2 linked regions of the Daphnia pulex genome follow. The protein of the gene in region 1 purifies or fractionates together with the protein of each later gene. This does not show direct contact. Links are inferred from orthologs where the notes say so. Each region holds a gene or a part of one and is shown on either strand. Other genes may lie near its edges.

Region 1 (3,185 bases):
GAGATCAAAGGTGGGTTCGCTGGTGGGTTGTCGCCTCATCCCTGTTCTTGTGCATCTTGATTAACGTTCCTATTTCTGAATCCCCATAGGCTTAAAAATTGAAATTACCCACTGTGGAACAATGCGACGAAAATATCGTGTATGCAACGTTACTCGCCGTCCAGCTCAAATGCAGTCTTTCCCACTGCAGTTGGAGAACGGTCAAACTGTCGAGTGTACAGTGGCCAAATATTTCCTGGACAAATACAAAATGAAATTGCGCTACCCGCATCTGCCTTGCCTGCAGGTTGGTTCTAATTTGGTCATATCCCCCTACATCTCTTAATCAATTTTTTTCTCCTGCAGGTTGGACAAGAGCACAAGCACACCTATTTGCCGCTGGAAGTTTGCAACATTGTAGCCGGGCAACGATGCATAAAGAAACTGACTGATATGCAGACATCGACCATGATCAAAGCCACTGCCCGATCGGCTCCCGACCGTGAGCGTGAGATCAATAATCTTATTCGAAAGGCCGACTTCAATAACGATCCCTACGTTCAGGAGTTTGGATTGACCATTTCCAATAGGTCAGTTATTGATTTGCAATTCTTTACGAGTGACATATTAAAAATGTAACTTCGACTTTGTTTTGCAGCATGATGGAAGTGCGCGGTCGTGTGCTTCCGCCACCAAAACTGCAATATGGGGGAAGGACTAAGCAACAGGCGCTACCTAATCAAGGTGTCTGGGATATGCGTGGCAAGCAATTCTTCACCGGAGTGGAGATTCGCGTTTGGGCAATCGCTTGCTTTGCACCCCAAAGAACAGTTCGCGAAGATGCGCTAAGAAATTTCACACAGCAATTGCAGAAGATAAGTAATGACGCCGGGATGCCCATCATTGGTAATAACGAAATAATTGTGGATTATGAGAATGGGTTGTCATTAAATTGAATATTGTTTAGGCCAACCTTGTTTCTGCAAATATGCCACTGGCCCCGATCAAGTGGAGCCTATGTTCCGCTACCTCAAGTCAACCTTCCAAGGTCTCCAGTTGGTGTGTGTCGTTCTACCGGGCAAAACTCCTGTTTACGGTACTATCATTTACACATTCTACTTGTGTCGACATCGACAATAATGAAGGTTTTTAATTTGATTATTCCAATAGCCGAAGTCAAACGTGTTGGCGATACTGTACTTGGCATGGCCACACAGTGCGTACAAGCAAAGAATGTCAACAAAACATCGCCTCAAACTCTGTCCAATTTGTGTCTGAAGATCAACGTTAAACTTGGTGGTGTTAACAGTATCCTTGTTCCTACCATTCGTCCTAAGGTAAAACGTAAATCAACTACTTTTCACACGAAAATGCTCATGTGTGTTGTTTTCTTAGGTGTTCAATGAGCCTGTCATTTTCCTTGGGGCCGATATAACTCATCCTCCAGCTGGTGACAACAAAAAGCCGTCGATCGCAGCCGTTGTGGGCTCGATGGATGCTCATCCTTCGAGATACGCTGCAACTGTTCGCGTCCAACAACACCGCCAAGAAGTTATTCAAGAGCTCAGTGCTATGGTCCGGTAAGAAATTTGACATTTTGATAATCCGCATATTGAGTTTCATGTGTTTTTGAGGCTGATGAACTTTCCTTTTTTTTCCCAGGGAATTATTGATCTTGTTCTACAAAACTACAAGGTTCAAACCCAACCGAATTATCATGTATCGCGATGGCGCCAGTGAAGGCCAGTTTAGCACCGTAAGCAACATTCTACTAGACTAAACTAACTTTGGCTTTCTAAAAAAGAAATACGTTCGAATAAACGACACGTTTTCTGTAGGTTTTGCAACATGAGTTGACCGCTATCCGCGAGGCATGCATAAAATTGGAACCTGACTACAAACCAGGTATCACGTTCATCGTGGTTCAGAAGCGCCATCACACCAGGCTCTTCTGTGCTGACAAGAAAGAGCAATCTGGCAAATCTGGAAACATTCCCGCCGGTACCACTGTCGACGCGGGCATTACACACCCAACCGAGTTCGACTTTTACTTGTGCTCGCATCAAGGCATTCAGGTGAGACAATTTATTTCCTTAATATTTATTCAGTGGTTTGATATTTAATGTATTTTTCTTTATGTACAGGGTACTAGCCGTCCTAGCCACTATCACGTTTTGTGGGATGACAACCACTTTGACGCTGACGAATTGCAGTGCTTAACTTACCAGCTTTGTCATACTTATGTGCGCTGTACTCGTTCCGTCTCCATTCCGGCGCCGGCTTACTACGCCCATCTGGTGGCTTTCCGTGCCAGATACCACTTAGTGGAGAAGGAGCACGACAGGTAATATTTAAATGACGGTGGTTGGCAACAAGACTTTATTAATCCTTTATTGATTTCCAATATTTGCAGTGGGGAAGGATCGCTACAGGATTGCATTAAGAGTTACACCAGGTACATTTCTTTGAACGTTAAATCAACGCCTAGAAAATGACTAAAATTTTCTATTTCTATTGAAACAGTGGAGAAGGTTCGCATCAAAGTGGCAGCAGCGAAGATCGCACGCCAGGCGCCATGGCTCGTGCTATCACTGTTCACGCGGATACCAAGAAAGTCATGTACTTTGCTTAAAAGTCATCGTGAAGTTTTTCCTCCCTCCCCAGTAAGTTGTCTCTTGGTCATCACGTGTATATCGGATGCGGATCAGGATGGAGTAGGAGTGTGGGGTTGTTGTATTTCCACGAGACTTGACGCTGTTTTTCTCTAGCTAGTTTGGAAGGTCAGCTTGCGAGCACAATATCCAACACATATTTCATGTCACCAACCATCATCACCACCACATCTCTGATCTGTCGTGCAAGGAGGAGCATTTCACACGTCCCTTTTAACAGAGCCATCCCCGGCGCAAAAGAATAATTTGTCCACGGCCGTCAAGTCTTTCATTATATTTTTCACGCTTATGGCGGGAGTCGAAACACATACTGCGGTGGGGTTTTAAACGAGACTTTGCACTTAAAATGTTTAATTCCCTTGTGGCAATTTAAAAAACACTTGAATTTGTTCCCCCCTATCCCTTGAAATCATCTCTGAACACGAAGTAACGGGAAGAGCGGTGTGAGAAAGGGTTAGAGATAATTTAGTAGCTCTCAACTACAATTGCATTTCCCCCTCCCTTCAGCATGTGGATGTAGTACGGACCAAGCAA
Region 2 (3,660 bases), on another chromosome or scaffold:
ACATAAGCAGGTTCCTAAACCTTTGGCCAAGGAAATGATATGGAGCAGCAAGCAATTCCGCATCTTATCCGAAATGGGTTTCAAGAAAGAAGATGTGGAGAATGTCCTACGCAATTGCAACATGGTGATGGAAGATGCCCTGGAAACCCTGCGCTCTGGTCGTGGGATGTTTGGAGATGACCATGGCTCGGGTGGTTACGATCCAATGGGACCGCACGGAGGAGCGCCTTATCCTCCGGGCGCTCGATTCAATCCCGGTCAACAAATGCCTTTTGTTCACCCTGGAAGTGGTGGTGCACCTCATCACTTATTGAACAATCCTGCTCCTAGCATGGGAATGAACCCTAATCCTGCATACAAAATTCTTCAGCCTCAGCAACCGCCACCAATGCCGCCTCAGGTATGGATGCTTCTTTGAATAATAGATGATAAGCATTCCATTACTATTTCTCATAATTAATGCTCTTGTTTCTTTGAAATGAAACGTCATTGATGTTTTTATTATTATTAACTATAATGTGGCAGGTCAATCAATCACAAATGGTCCGGAACATGTCGCGAGTGGACACTGGCGTTTCGTCTGGTGCAGGAGCCGGTAGTCAACCTTCGCCGACTCAGTTACGAATTCTCGTTCAGCAAATCCAAATGGCTGTACAGGCTGGTCATTTGAATCCCCAAATTCTCAATCAGCCACTGGCTCCTCAGACGCTGGTGCTGCTCAATCAGTTGCTACAACAGATCAAAGTACTTCAGCAGCTTGGTCAACAGCACAATATGGCTCTTAGTAGGCCGGGACAAGGCCCTATGGGGGGTCCCATGATGCAGCTCGTACCTCAAATGAACAAAACCAAACAGCAGATTGCCAGCTTGCAACAGCAGATCGCCGCCCAACAGGCTCTGTATGTCAAGCAACAAGGCCAAATGATGAATCAACAGCCGCCCGGGGCTCCACCGAGCCAACCATCTGATCTATTCAAAGTGGATTCTGTTCACGGCATTCAGTCCAATTTGGACAGGATGAGTTTACAGGATTCTGGACAATCTCGGCTCTCTCAGTGGAAGTACCCGCCACTCGACAAGGATCTTTCTGATCTAGGCATGTCGGAATTCAGTCGTGCACCCGGGAGCAGTGGTGGAGCTCCGGGTTCAATTCCCAGCAACGCTAAACCGCCACTAGGTAGCAGCCTTTCTTCTCCCAACATGAATCCAGTCCTCGGTCAAGACGGCGGTGCTTGGTCGAGTCTTTCGCGCTCTCAGTCCGAGACTGGCTGGCCTGACACCAATCAGGATTTGTCAGCTCCGGGATCGGTGGGAGGCAACGATGGAAAGGATAGTTGGAGCAGTGCTGCCGGAACCTCTTCATATTCTGGTTCCATATCGGATCTCGTTCCCGAGTTCGAGCCTGGCAAACCATGGAAGGGACCACAGATCAAAACGGCAGATGACGATCCAACTCTCACTCCCGGAACTTTTGCCATGTCTGGTCTGAATGAGGCCGACGTTTACTCAAACAACGCATCAAAAGGAGGACAGAGCTCAACCAAAGCTTCACCTCCTCCTGTGGGAAGTGGTGGAACAAGCTCCTCGAATGAATCGGGCTTCCCCACCCTGGGTCTTTCTAATTCCACCTGGTCTTTCAATCCGTCTTCGGCGTCGTCGAGTTCCGTCCCGTCCACGTCGACTCCTTACAGTTCTGCCAAGATAGCACCAAAATCGTCTTGGTCTGACGCCCCGCCGCCATCTGCGGACCCGTGGAGCGCACCAAACAAGCCTCGTGGTCCGCCGCCAGGCATCACCCCTTCGGTAGGCGTCGGCCCAAAGACTGCCGGCCGCGACTGGAGTGCAGCAGGCAGCCGCTCACCTTGGCCTGGAACTAATACTGCCGGCTCTGGAGGCACGTGGGCCGGTTCTCTCAATGGTTCGTCGTCGTGGCTCGTGTTACGTAACTTGACCCCGCAGATCGATGGCTCGACGCTCAAAACATTGTGCGTCCAGCACGGTCCACTTCATAACTTCCATCTCTACCTCAACCATGGAGTTGCTTTAATTCGTTATTCTACTGGCGAAGAAGCTGCCAAGGTATTGTATTTCACGACCTTTTATTGTTGTAATAGAAGATCTAATGCTCTCAACTTTTTCGATGACAGGCCCAAAGTGCTTTGAACAACTGCGTGCTCGGAAACACGACGATTTATGCAGATCTAGCCAACGAATCTGATGTGCAGGGCTGGCTGCAACAGCTTGGCATGCCCGCCCAACAGCAGCAACAACAGCAGCAGCAACAAAATCAACAACAGCAACAGCAAGCTGTTTCCTCCAGTGGGTGGGGCGTCAGGGGCTCTACTCCTGGCGCCGGTTCCAACAGCGGAAGCGGCAACGGAGGTGGTGTAGGAAGCAACGCCTCAAAGGGAAGTGCCAACGCCGGAGATAATTGGGGATCTGGTGCCGGTGGTCCTAGTTCGAGCCCATGGTCGACGGGTCCCAATTCAGTCTGGTCTACTCCGAACTTGGATCGTGATTTGAGAACCACGCCGTCATCGCTGAACGCATCGCTCAACTCGTTTCTGCCTGGCGATCTCCTGGGCAACGAGTCCATGTAAAAGTGAGGATACAAACACACGTGACTCAAAAACAAAGCAAAAGAGAATCGACAAAATTACGTGTCAATTTGAGAATAGATGAGAGAAGAGAAAAATACCAAGGTAATGTTCAATTCGTCAAAAATATTTTCACAGCTGAGAGCAATCAACCAACTAATGTGTATGCCAGACGTAATATAGTGTTATTCCACCCTCCCGATCCCTTCGTATTCACGGTGACGGAAAAGTTGTCACTCTTTCAAATTTAATATTACTCTTATATTATGGCCTAATGCCGCTGCTGTTGCTGCTGCACTGATGCGTAGTGTGAACCGTCCTCTTAATCTTCCCCCGAAAAACACCAATGAGGCCATTAAGCATTTACAAAGAAAGAAAGCAAAGTAGTAGTATATTATGATATCCCTATGTTTCGTTTTTTTTTTCTCACGTGACTCCCCAAAATAATTTCCTCTCGTCTTATGATCGCTCGCGCCACACACACACCACTCCATTCAATTTAGTCGAAGTTTTTCCTATGTAAGGCTTTGTTTTTGGTCAGAGTAAGTCCTCTTGTTGTGTCTTGTAATAATTTTGTTTTGTGTGTGTGTGTGGGAGTGGTCTATCACTTTGTGCGTGCCAGTTGTTTTTTTTTTCTCTGTCTCTTTATTTGCCACTACCGAGGTGTTCTCTCGCTCCACTCCAAGTCCCCCACTTTTTTCAAAAGCTAAAAAGAAAGAGTGTCTCTCGTTCCAGAGACCGTCATGAAACCATGTTATCAGAAACAAAACAAAAACTTTTGAGAGAGAAGGGGATAGAGAGCGACGGATATTTTTTTTTTTCAAATGCTCTCTTCCTCTTGCAATTTGTTTGTTCTCCTATATCCACCTCAACAAACGACAACTACTACTAATTCTAGTGCCCTACCCTCCACTTCTTCAGCCCCGCAATTTTTCCTCCTCTTTTTTCTTTTTAAATTCTCATTCTCTTCCGTCTCTTCTCGTGACTCAATCATCTTACGAAGCTGGAATTATTCCCTCACGGAAGTAACGAAATGAAAATACTTGTGCGAGTTTTCTAGTGG

What was found. The genes of interacting proteins can lie anywhere in the genome.
Region 2: the proteins of protein argonaute-2-like (region 1) and protein Gawky-like purify together in Drosophila melanogaster (affinity purification with western blotting; 17 studies listed by BioGRID, with this or other methods). This does not show direct contact. The link is inferred for Daphnia pulex from reciprocal best matches to the Drosophila melanogaster genes AGO1 and gw.

The regions. Positions count from the first base shown.
Region 1 is NC_060022.1:5,186,259-5,189,443, reverse strand, and holds part of protein argonaute-2-like, read left to right. Parts: coding exon 1-22; intron 23-89; coding exon 90-286; intron 287-345; coding exon 346-569; intron 570-637; coding exon 638-885; intron 886-946; coding exon 947-1,075; intron 1,076-1,149; coding exon 1,150-1,316; intron 1,317-1,374; coding exon 1,375-1,559; intron 1,560-1,641; coding exon 1,642-1,735; intron 1,736-1,817; coding exon 1,818-2,054; intron 2,055-2,123; coding exon 2,124-2,323; intron 2,324-2,392; coding exon 2,393-2,434; intron 2,435-2,502; coding exon 2,503-2,611; 3' UTR 2,612-3,185.
Region 2 is NC_060018.1:6,011,052-6,014,711, forward strand, and holds part of protein Gawky-like, read left to right. Parts: coding exon 1-400; intron 401-525; coding exon 526-2,079; intron 2,080-2,147; coding exon 2,148-2,600; 3' UTR 2,601-3,660. UniProt on the Drosophila melanogaster protein: Required for gene silencing mediated by micro-RNAs (miRNAs). Silences both polyadenylated and deadenylated mRNAs. Required for miRNA-mediated translational repression and mRNA decay. Not required for miRNA target recognition.